Arabidopsis thaliana: one gene and its partner. Each later gene encodes a partner of the first gene's protein in a complex. Each region holds a gene or a part of one and is shown on either strand. Other genes may lie near its edges. A codon is read from its position in the direction of its gene.

Region 1 (7,185 bases):
ACAACTAGTCGTTTTTACTTACTTGCTCTAGTTAAAAGTCCAAGTCAGTATCATTTGGTTAGGGTTTTGTTTGGTTGATCACTTTGTTAGTTAACTAACGAATTCTCCTTTTTGTGTAGTGTTGTAATTTAATGTCTTGTACACAAAACTAAGGACGACTAAAAAGAACTTGCATTTCTTAACTTATTCACATTTCTAATTAAATGATTAAACAATTTGTTTGACCGGATTTTCTTAGCTTAGTAATATGATCATATTACAAAATACGGAAAAGTGTTGTAAAAAATTCTCAAAAGTTAACTCTAGCTTTTTATAGCTGGAGAGACAAAATTCTACACTAACTACAAAATACAGTTATATCTTAGTACAAAATTACGGTTATAAACTGTGGTTAAATTGAGAACTGTCTTAGTACAAAATAAATTAAGAAACAAGGAGATTACAAAATTATGATTCAATGAATAATTTATATCTTCCGCCGATAAAGCATAAATAAATTGATCGATCCATTCATAGTGCCCGAAAATTTTGTAGTCACTACAGACAAATTAAAATAAACGAGTAAAGCATAAAAAGCACATGGTCGGCTCTATAATTGCAATTCTCAAACTTTTTCTTTTACATATGCATATCGAAGAGAAACACAACTTTTTCTTTCCAAAAGTGTATTTTTCCAAATCTAAGTTTCCCCGATTCTAAATACAGAATAATCATGAAAATGGTTAGATTTTTTGAAACTTGAAAGTATATTCTTAGAGAAGTGACATTTATTGAAAAGGTTAAGAGATGATGATATGAGTCGTATGGATCTTATTTGGACTCACAATTATTGAATTACTTTTGTCAGGAGTAATCGTTATTGAAGTTACCAATGTAAGAATCGAATTTGTAGAAGAGGAGTCATTTTTAGGTACACGTCCGGGTCAGTCAACGCTTACTTAGTTTGACTTTTGACTCTCTAGACTATAACATTTACAAAGTCCATTTGTGTTTCCTCTTTTAGCCATCTCATAATAATAACTTGGGAAATATTGGGAAAATAAGACGAACGAATATTAATAATCCTAACAACTTTTCTTATCTCAAAAAGAAAAGAATCGAAATGAAGCCAAAATCAGCTAATTGTTTCATAAACAAAGTCACAAACATATATCTACGCAGTCTCTCTGTCTGTCTTTGAGTTGGTTCATAGACTGTGTAATGAAACTTTTACCTTCAAAAGTTTCTGATGTTCGATGGATGCACTCTGCAACGGTTTAGCCTGTTAAAGGAAAGGAGTATCCACGAAGGTACTTGGAGTCCACTCCCGATTCACGAGCCAATGCCACACGACCGGTTCTTGCAACCTGTGATTGATTGTTCATAATAAGCGTCAACACGATGCATAATCTGAAAGTAGTCATGGCTTGTCAAGCTTATTCTTGTTCTACACACAACCAGAAGAAGATTCATGTAACTAGGTCCAGCTTTGGTTATTGATTTTACCAGAGAGTTAGATTTCACTACTCTGTTTCTAAGTCGTAAAGACTACAACTAAATTTTGGGACTTTATCCGAACAATTGGAGTATCATTATAAGAAATTAAGAATTCACGGGGTTATGCATTCACTAAGAGATGAAAGTAGATTGCGAAACAAACCTCACATATACCATAGGGCTCCAATAACCTTTGCAGTGCAACCATCTTGTCTAGATCCCCAGTAAGCTATACCCACAGCCAACAAATTTCAGCACAAAATCCAAAACACAAAAGCAAAAAAATAGAGATTAAGATGGAAAATCCAAGTCAGCTTCATATATTTTTTTCAAACGGAACTCTGATTATGTCAAACAAGTTGAAGACCTATGGAAAGACGTGAAACTTTGAAGATCTCCAATTGAAAGGATTTCTCATCTGAGATGCAATAACAGCTACATAAAAATCCCATTTATGAGAAATGTATTTTACCTGCAAAGTAATTGTGTGATCAGATACGTCAACAGCTTTAGCCCTGAAAATACTAGCAATGTCCAGGACATCTCTTCTAGCAGCAGCGTTCACGGCAATCTTAATCAGCATCAGTTCTCTTTCAGAAAATGGCAAATGAGTAAGATCATGGACCTGCAGAAAATCCTCACAAAGTTAATAACAGCTTGGAAAGTTGCGGCAAATCATGTTCAGAATTATTTTCATCAAGCCTGTACAGTTTGACTTTCTGGAACAAGAGGTCTCATTCGAGTAAACAGACAAGACCAGGAAATGATATAGGAAAGTCCAGAAAGATTTAGCAGAAACTCTTCCTCTAATCTACGTTTTAAAAAAAGCCAAAAGGTCTAAGACAGCAAAGGAATGATAGGGCCATCAAGACATTCAAACTGTTAAATATATAAGAAAGACAGTAGCTTTTGGTAATCCCACCTCATGCACATCTACGAGTTTGTAAAGTTGCTGCACCAATTTGCTGACCGATTCATCTGTTGCAGGTATAACTGTTGTAATGCGTGAAATGCCCTTGGTTTCAGCATGTCCTACGGCCAAGCTCTAAAAGAAAGGAGATCTTTCAGTGTGTCAGTAAACCTAAGCACACTGTGTGTGCGTGTATGAGAGAGATAAGGACTATGCCTGGATATTGTATCCCCTTCGAGCGAAAACACCAGTCACAATATTAAGAACTCCTGGAATATCATTTACAAGCAATGATAGAGTATGCGACCGTAGTCCACTCGTCTGAAAGATCAAAAAAGAATAACTGTGATAAATAAAACGAAATAGCTTAAAGAAAACCCCAACTCTTTCAATGTCTGCTTTGTAAGTAAATACATACAGTCTCCAAATCTAACACTCAATTGATTTATCATTTATGTAACTATATTAACAGAATTGATTATGCCAGACGGCTTGAATGGAAAAACAAGTGTAACTCGTGTAATGCAAACCACAATCTGAATTTTTCATATTGCTTTTTAGCAAATTCATGGCACGAAGTTAGATATATAGCAAAGAACTCTCTTACATCTTCGTCAGTGAGAAGTCCCCAGTGAGCGTCGAGAATACGATGTACCTTGGGGTCAAAAAATGGCTCAACGGGATAAACATCTCCCTACATTTAAAAAGATAAGATAACTTTTAAAAATTAGCAAACTCGGAAATCCTTCAGTGCAGCCAGGGAGAAAAACAAAAAAGGGCATGCTTCAAATGTTGATTCCAGGCAGCCACCACATAGAGGGAAAAAAACACAGGCATCTATAGTTCTGTTTAACTTTATCAAATAGCCAAACCTACTATAATTTATGCAACCAAATTTTTTGAAAGGAAAGTGAGGAACTTCAAGCTGAAGTTAAACAATCTAAGGAGCAGAGAAGCACACACCCCTGCTGATGTTTCCTTTTGAGGGACAATGGCTCCTTTTTTGCTACTTCGAAGAACACTAACAGGCGCTTGCTCCTTGAGATCTGGATAGGATGCTGCTGAAAATCGCCAAAATGGAGCAGTTGCACCCATCTTTTCCCTTCTCAGTGCTATCTGTTATCCAAAAATGTCATTCCATTTTCCCTAAATTAGTGAAAGTCCCTGAGATCTATGCCTTTGTGTCCACTCAAAGATGTAACTACTACATACATACATTAGATAGCACAAACTAGATGATATTCAAAAGCCATAAAATCTAGTAATTCCAAACATACACTACCTTTCCTGTCCTTACAATCTCTCTGATCTGAAACTTTTTCAAATTTCTTTCTACAGCAATCATTTTTCCAGGATCTCCAGTTACCTGCAAAATAGCTTAAAAATGATTACTAAAGAGCTAAAATAGGTAAATCAGAGACACCCTTTTTTTTACTCCACTTTCTCATAATCAAGGTAAAAAGAACAATATATTTAAGGTTATGCTTCTCTAACTTTCAAAAGTGAACACTGAGCATTCCCACAGAAATTTGCACAGGCAATACAACTCAGAATACAGATTATAAGCATAGGGTAATCAAAGGTAGCACACTGTTGAATAACTTTCTCGTTATATTAAATTCAAGAAGTTGCACCAAAAGTTTCAAATAAACTTTAATACACATCCTATAATAGAGTCCTGCATGTGGATCATCATCAGTTTCAAAAGGCAACGAAAATCCAACTAATAGATATAAAAGTTAAAATGATACCCTCCATAATATTTCTGATGTCTTCCAACGATTAGTAAGATGTTCAAACAGAAGTCTGAAACCCACAGGCTACAGTGCGAAACAAATATCAAGACCAACACAAATCATAATAAGTAGATGTACCTCGATAGTCAATGCATGTTCCGCTATATCTACAACTCTTGCTCTGAATGTGTCAACTAGCCACATGATCTGTGAATTCATTAAAACAGAAGCTTAATCAAATTTAGAGAGAAAACTAACACCACCTCTGCCCTAAATCAGAAGCAACCAGCAAGTACAGTAAACTCTAATTTCCCATAGGCAAGGAATAGTACCTCTGCCCTGGATTCTGGATGTGCATTCACTTTTACAAGCATCAGCTCACGCTCCACTTGCGGCTCACTTGAGATATCTTCAACCTAATTCATGTCCAAGTCAATGAAGAGAATGGAAAAGGAAATCGCAAATGTAATCTTCAAATAATGAATAAGCAAATTGGCTGATGCGTAAAGTTGGTGCGAATGAAACTATAGTCATGCAGAAACTAATAAGTGCGATCTAACAAAAGAACAACCTTTAGAACATTAACGAGCTTCTGGAGTTGCTCGATGACCTGCTGAAGTACCCTTTCAGTTCCACAGACAACTATGGTGAATAGAGCCTTGTCTCTGTTCAGACCAACAGCAAGACTCTCAATATTGTATCCTCTCCTTGCAAACACTCCTGCAATCCTATTAATCATTCCGCTTTCGTCTCCAACAAATACTGAAATTGTGTGCTTCCTCACCCTGATTTTAATGCACAAAGAATCAATCAAAGCAAAGGCCAAAAGGAAACGACTTTAAGCAAATATTATTCACAGTACTTCGATTTTGGAGTCGCAGATGAAGCTTCGGAGAAAGACGCATCAGAGATCTTCCCATCGACGCTTCTAACGAATCCTTCCATTCTCTTACCCATTTCATCGCCACGGTGCGAAGATATACCGGAGAGATATGAAATCTTCGCCGGGAACGATACACGCGTCGAGGATACAAGAGCAGGAGAAGAATCGGAACATGCCGATCTCAAGCAGCGAATAGATGGTGAAGAACTTACAGAAATGGCCGCCATTGACGAGACGAAGCCGAAGGTTTTTTGCTACTGAAGAAGACTGACGACGACGAAACGGCAAGTGAAAAAGAACGTATATATGTTGGTTAGACCGGTCAAACCGTCCGGTCCGGTTCGGTTGTTGACGACCTTAGAAATCAATGGCTTTAAGAAAAGCCCAAAAGGCTTCGAGTAGATAAGACCAACACGTCAGCTCCACGTATAACAACCTTTTCGAGTCAACTATTTTCCTAATTTTGCTAAAAAGTATCTTGGGTTCGTCGGAACTAATTGTAATTATGAGAAGTTTAGGGTAAAATTCATAATTTAGGAAAAGAAAATGATTTTAAATCCGGTAAAGCCACCGAAAAAAGTGGACAATCAAGAAGAGTCCATATTTACGCGGGACTCGCCAAATAATGATTGAAAGGAAAAGTCAAATCAAAGTCAATCGGAAACAGACGTCGCCAATAATATCTTCACCCGTCAAATTAAAATTAATTATTTCTCGATAAGCAACGCGCTAGAGACGGATCTCACATAATCACCAGATCAATTTTCTCGAGAAAAAGAAAATGTGATTATCCATTCGATTTTTTCGCAGAAGAAGACGAAAGAGAGAAGAAGAGAAAGAGATTTGAAATCATGGCGAATGTAGTGGGACAGCTAAAACGAGGAATCTCGAGACAATTCTCAACTGGATCGCTTCGTCGTACGCTTAGTCGTCAATTCACGCGTCAAGCTTCACATGATCCTCGCCGGAACAATATGCGATTTAGTTTTGGTCGACAATCGTCTTTAGATCCGATTCGTCGGAGTCCTGATGGTTCTAACGGTCCGCAGCTTGCTGTACCGGATAATCTCGACGCTACTATGCAGCTTCTATTTGTGGCTTGTAGAGGTGATGTTGAAGGTGTTCAGGATCTGCTTGATGAAGGTATTGATGTTAATAGTATCGATCTTGATGGTCGTACGGCTCTTCATATCGCTGCTTGTGAAGGTCATGTCGATGTTGTCAAGCTTCTTCTTACTAGGAAGGCTAATATTGATGCTCGTGATCGTTGGGGAAGCACGGTAATGTGATAAATTTCTATTGTTGTCTCTTATTGGTTAGGTTTTGTGCTTTTGGTTTTGAAATTATGTTTGTGTTGTGTGGATAGGCAGCTGCTGATGCTAAGTATTATGGTAACATGGATGTTTTCAACATTTTGAAAGCCCGTGGAGCTAAAGTTCCGGTATGTTGCTGCATTTTTCATTGATTCAAGCTCTGTTCTTTTCATATCTTAATATGTTTATAGTTACATTTTCTTCTTGGTTTTAGAAAACCAAAAGGACACCCATGGTTGTGGCGAATCCTCGTGAAGTTCCTGAGTACGAGTTAAATCCGCAGGAACTTCAAGTTCGGAAAGCTGATGGTATCTCAAAGGCAAGATCTCTCTTTGCTTTACTTTCCTGTAATAATGTCTTAGTTTCCATTTATAGATTTTTAACAAGATACTACATCACTTTTCCACTTGCCAGGGAATATATCAAGTGGCTAAATGGAATGGGACTAAGGTTTCTGTAAAGATACTTGATAAGGATCTCTACAAGGATTCTGACACTATGTAAGATTACTCTTCTCTTCAGTGAGTAATATGTCTATGTTAGCTAACAGGTCAAGAAGGAGTTTGAATTTCTTCTTGAGTGAAGCTATAGATCGTTGAAATCATCTTTGTTATGTTCATAGTGATGATGATATGAGCTGTAACATTATTCAATCATAGTTCTTATAGAATCTTCTATGTTGGAATTGTGCATTTCCAGTAATATTTTCTGGAATCCACTTCATTCCCTCTGTGTTAATCCTTGTTTTTCTTTTCATATATTACGTTTGTTCTGCAATCTTCTCATCTGACTTTTATTATGTACCCACAGAAATGCCTTCAAACACGAACTTACTTTATTCGAGAAGGTACGTCATCCTAATGTTGT
Region 2 (4,775 bases), on another chromosome or scaffold:
ATATCTATAATTAACTAATATTTTTTCGTCAATTATAATAGATCAATTAAAAGGCTATCAAAAGGAAAAAAATGAAATCCACATCCTGCCATCATAACCTCATGCTGGAAAAAGAAATGAAAAAATATAAAAAATTTCTTTTGTTTATTAAATTTACAACTTTAATACTAGTTTCTTTTCTATTTTTTAAAAGCTTTTGTCACTTACTTAAAAAAAAAAAACTTTTTGAAATATTCCTACTTCCAATGTCTGATTAGTGCTTCTGGATTTCCTTTTTGGATCATGTGAATCCTAAATCAGAAAAATTCATATAATACCCAATTCAGTATATTTTCATACTTCAATTTACAAGAGTTCTCTATGTTTTTAGCTTCTTTCTTTTAAGCCAAATGTTTTAAGCATCTTTTATACATTAAAATAATTTAGTGTTGAGTTGAGATTTTTTTTTTTTTTTTTTTGGATTTACTTGTTCAAAATCTGAAAAAATGTTTACAGAAGGTTAAAATGAACCAAAAGGCATATCAAGCTAGATTTTGAATTACCCTATTTCATCGTATACACAAAACTGATAATGTGGACACAGTTGATTTTACTTCTCGATGACATCGTAGTTTTATTTAATTTGGAAACCACGGCCCATATGAGCACATTTCAATTAAAAACCAATGGTAAGAGCATTTTCCATGCAAGATTCGAGAGATATTAACCCAGTGACTGTTAAAACAGCTTAGAACCCTAATAACGAATTTCAATTACTCAATTTACCATTCGCATTTCGCAATAACCAAACTGAGCCAGTCACAAGGAGTAAACCGAACCGGATTATTTATTTATAAAATGAAAGAAAGGAAACCAAACAACAACAGCAGTAGTAGTCTGACGTAAACCAAAAAGCAGGCAGATCAACAACTAAAAGAAACTCAAATTACCAAAACAAACAGGAAATTGCAAACTAAGTTTTTTTACCATATGCATACAAAGACCATAAAAGGTTCTGATAATCACCGGTTTCATCTCTCAGTATTTAATCCGGCCATCTCCTTCCGTTATGACATCGTTGAAAGTGCCACCACTCGGGATCATCGGCAACACATGTTCTTGGTGCGGACAAATCACATCCAACAGGTAAGGTCCTGGTGTATCCAGCATTGTCTGAATAGCTTCTCGGAGATCTGCTTTCTTTGTCACCCTCGCCGCTGGAATCCCGCAAGCTGCTGCAAACAGCAACATGTTCGGGAATATCTCGTCCTCCTGAGCCGGATCCCCGAGAAATGTGTGAGCTCGGTTAGCTTTGTAGAACCGATCTTCCCATTGCATAACCATGCCAAGATGCTGGTTGTTTAATAAAAGTACCTTCACTGGAAGATTCTCTACACGAATAGTGGCTAGCTCTTGCACATTCATTATAAAGCTTCCATCTCCGTCAATATCCACAACTATCGCATCAGGGTTAGCAACAGACGCTCCAATCGCAGCAGGAAGTCCAAATCCCATAGCTCCAAGGCCTCCTGATGATAGCCACTGCCTTGGTTTCTTGTAATTGTAGAACTGCGCCGCCCACATTTGATGTTGCCCGACACCAGTACTTATTATGGCTTTTCCATCAGTCAACTCATCAAGGACCTTAATCGCATACTGTGGAGGAATAGCTTCCCCAAACGTCTTAAAGCTCAACGGAAACTTCTGTTTCTGTACGTTCAACTCATTCCTCCAAACTCCAAAATCAAGCTTAAGCTCCTCCGCTCGGTTCTCAAGAACCTTATTCATCCCTTGCAAAGCCAGCTTAACATCACCACACACAGACACATGAGGAGTCTTATTCTTCCCAATCTCAGCCGAGTCAATATCAATATGAACAATCTTAGCCCTACTAGCAAAAGCCTCAAGCTTACCCGTGACACGATCATCAAACCTTACCCCAAACGCCAACAACAAATCACTATGCTCCACAGCGTAATTTGCATACACAGTCCCATGCATTCCAAGCATATGTAACGACAACTCATCATCACAAGGATAAGATCCCAGCCCCATCAACGTACTCGCAACAGGGATCCCCGTAAGCTCAACAAACCTACCCAATTCATCGCTAGAATTCAAACAACCACCACCAACATACAACACAGGCTTCTTAGACTCAGAAATCAACCTAACAATCTGCTCCAAATGAGAATCTTCCGGAGGTTTAGGCATCCTAGACATATAACCAGGTAATCTCATAGCCTGTTCCCAATTAGGAATCGCAAGCTGTTGTTGAATATCTTTAGGAACATCAACCAAAACAGGTCCAGGTCTACCAGAAGTAGCTAAAAAGAAAGCTTCCTCAATAATCCTAGGGATATCTTCAACATCCATCACAAGATAGTTATGCTTCGTAATCGAACGCGTTACCTCAACAATCGGAGTCTCTTGAAACGCATCTGTACCAATCATACGACGAGGGACTTGTCCTGTGATTGCTACAAGAGGAACACTATCTAACAACGCATCGGCTAATCCGCTAACGAGATTTGTAGCTCCGGGACCTGAAGTGGCTATACAGATACCTGGTTTACCTGAGGATCGAGCGTATCCTTCTGCTGCGAATACACCTCCTTGTTCGTGACGAGGAAGGACGTTACGGATTGAGGAAGAGCGGGTTAAGGCTTGGTGAATCTCCATTGATGCACCTCCAGGGTAAGCGAATACGGTTTCTACGCCTTGACGTTCTAAAGCTTCGACGAGGATATCAGCGCCTTTGCGGGGTTGATCTGGAGCGAATCGGGAGATGAATGTTTCGGGTTTGGTAGGTTTGGTTGGAGAGGGAGTGGTTGTGACATTGGTGGTTGTGTTGAGCACGGCGGAGATGGAGGAGGGAGAGCTGGATTTGATACCGCGGCGGCGGGAGGAGGAGGATGATTTGTTGGGGTTTAGGGAGAATGGGAGGGAGAATCTGGAGATTGGTAATGGTGATTTGGAGGAGGAAGGAGATGGTTTGGTGGAGAAGGAGATCGAAGAAGATGTTGTTGTTGTTGTTGTTGCCGCCGCCATGGTTCAGGAGAAAGATGAGCAAGAGATAGAGAAACAGAGAAGAAGAAGAGACTTGTGAACATGATTTGTTTAAAAATGAGACTTGAAGTTTAAGGGTTTTATGTTGGATTACGAAAATGCCCTCGGGATTTGATTTTTGGTCCTTTATTTATAGATAAAACTCACGTGACGCTGGAATCTCTAGTCTATCTATTGTATTTGTGATTGAGCCTTCGATATGCTAAAACCTAAATGTAGAATTTGTGGCTGAGAAATTTATCAAATTGATCTTTCTTTCTTTTTTTATTGGTTAAGAGAATGGATACAAGCTGCAAGTTGGTTCCACGAATTGGACAAAAACATAGTCCTGGTGATTTGAGATTTAGATTTTAAAGATACTTCTTGATGACAATATAATTTGTATACATGAATAAAAAACTTATAAGGTCTATAAGGAACAAGAGATAAGTGAAAATGGAATAAGAATGGAGAATTTGGCTACAAAAACAATAACAAAACTAAGAGCTTCCTCAAAGGGCTGATAATGTCGTTTGGTTCGTTCTTCTCCTCCTACTCCTCGGAGCATTGCCTGTAGCGCGATTCAGAGTTTAGAAACTTTCACAAATGAGTGTTTATCTCAGCATTTCTTGCATGAAACAACCCAACATGCATTACAGAAACATGGAACAGAGACTCCATCCATGACACCAGAGCGAACGAATACAGAACAAACAAAACTCATGGGACGAATAGATATAATAAAGATACAAGGAGACAGAAGCGTGTCGATAGCAGAAGCAATGGAGACAGCAAAGCACTAATCTTTTGAGACAATAAGCCAAAAAAAAAAACTAGCTGAAATTCATCCTAAAGTCTTCCACTATCTGATCTATAACCAATCTACTTCTATATCCACCAATATGATTACAAATTATTGAGGAATGAACCAAGAATGTGGTCTAGTCAAAATGATCTTTAAAGGAATTAACAGAACTATTGAATCAATGACTATATGTCAAGTAACATAACCAAAATGTAGATATATAATGCGAGATCAATTACCTCGTAAAGAAAGTACTACACTAAGAAGATCCAACGATGATGTTGTTGATTGGGATGAAAACGAGCTTCACGAAGAATCCAACGAATCCCATCACCACAAATCCAATCGCCGTACGCACAGCTACTTTCGTGAATTCTGATAACCAATTCAATTACAAATGATATCAAAATTTCAGAAAACCCTAATCTACAGATCAAAAATCGGAAATGAGATTTTTTTGAGAAAAGGCGTTACCCTTGCGATCGGGTTTGTGACAGCGCTGGACGAGACGAACACTGCTCTTAGCGAAATCTCTGAGAGGATCGATTGCGGAATCAATGGCTTCCATGACTTCTTTTTAGATCGGAATTGGTAATCGAAATTAGGGTTTCAGCAGGTTCGTTTAAGGATGAAAATTGGGTTTTATTTTTGACATTTGGTTTTATACTTTAGTTCCGTTGACTTTCGCCTCCACCATAATTTCTCCAATTCAGATTTGATTCGGTCTGAACACAAAGTCCGGTTTGGTTTCTTATTTGTCTTAATATCGATTACTTTCCATCTATAAAATATTTTTCTACAACATCTTAAGAATTATAATTGAGTGATGTTGATGCTACTATTTTAAGTTTAGAAAATAAACACTAAAAAGACAAATGTCTCACTCATCAAAGTAAAACTCTTGAAAAGTGCAAGAGCTCTGAAATTTGAGAACGAAGACAAG

The links.
Region 2: the proteins of AT2G31810 (region 1) and CSR1 are in contact, whole or in part, in a cryo-EM structure (PDB 6U9H), measured with the Arabidopsis thaliana proteins. Residues at the interface, in NP_850172.1 of Arabidopsis thaliana: Asp95 (codon at 4,873), Glu96 (codon at 4,870), Asn101 (codon at 4,855), Arg102 (codon at 4,852), Arg109 (codon at 4,831), Arg110 (codon at 4,828), Tyr112 (codon at 4,822), Arg137 (codon at 4,747), Gln141 (codon at 4,735), Glu144 (codon at 4,726), Gln145 (codon at 4,723), Gln147 (codon at 4,717), Lys148 (codon at 4,714), Leu149 (codon at 4,711), Val150 (codon at 4,708), Val152 (codon at 4,702), Leu153 (codon at 4,699); in NP_190425.1 of Arabidopsis thaliana: Arg216 (codon at 2,385), Ser217 (codon at 2,382), Lys220 (codon at 2,373), His221 (codon at 2,370), Asn222 (codon at 2,367), Tyr223 (codon at 2,364), Arg233 (codon at 2,334), Leu241 (codon at 2,310), Arg246 (codon at 2,295), Arg272 (codon at 2,217), Leu273 (codon at 2,214), Pro274 (codon at 2,211), Gly275 (codon at 2,208), Tyr276 (codon at 2,205), Arg279 (codon at 2,196), Asp397 (codon at 1,842), Ser398 (codon at 1,839), Ala399 (codon at 1,836), Glu400 (codon at 1,833), Gly402 (codon at 1,827), Lys403 (codon at 1,824), Asn404 (codon at 1,821), Lys405 (codon at 1,818), Thr406 (codon at 1,815).

Annotation. Positions count from the first base shown.
Region 1 is NC_003071.7:13,522,318-13,529,502, reverse strand, and holds AT2G31810 (ACT domain-containing small subunit of acetolactate synthase protein), read right to left. Parts: upstream 5,456-7,185; 5' UTR 5,233-5,455; coding exon 4,985-5,232; intron 4,908-4,984; coding exon 4,694-4,907; intron 4,539-4,693; coding exon 4,455-4,538; intron 4,330-4,454; coding exon 4,261-4,329; intron 3,753-4,260; coding exon 3,669-3,752; intron 3,503-3,668; coding exon 3,350-3,502; intron 3,081-3,349; coding exon 2,994-3,080; intron 2,708-2,993; coding exon 2,603-2,707; coding exon of another isoform or gene 2,598-2,602; intron 2,522-2,597; coding exon 2,399-2,521; intron 2,102-2,398; coding exon 1,949-2,101; intron 1,706-1,948; coding exon 1,640-1,705; intron 1,347-1,639; coding exon 1,257-1,346; 3' UTR 791-1,256; downstream 1-790. Other genes in the region: AT2G31800 (Integrin-linked protein kinase family), read left to right, coding at 5,857-6,285, 6,372-6,446, 6,533-6,637, 6,733-6,818, 7,129-7,185.
Region 2 is NC_003074.8:18,000,513-18,005,287, forward strand, and holds CSR1 (chlorsulfuron/imidazolinone resistant 1), read right to left. Parts: upstream 3,238-4,775; 5' UTR 3,031-3,237; coding exon 1,018-3,030; 3' UTR 771-1,017; downstream 1-770. Other genes in the region: AT3G48570 (secE/sec61-gamma protein transport protein), read right to left, coding at 4,092-4,207, 4,307-4,400. UniProt on the Arabidopsis thaliana protein: Catalyzes the formation of acetolactate from pyruvate, the first step in valine and isoleucine biosynthesis.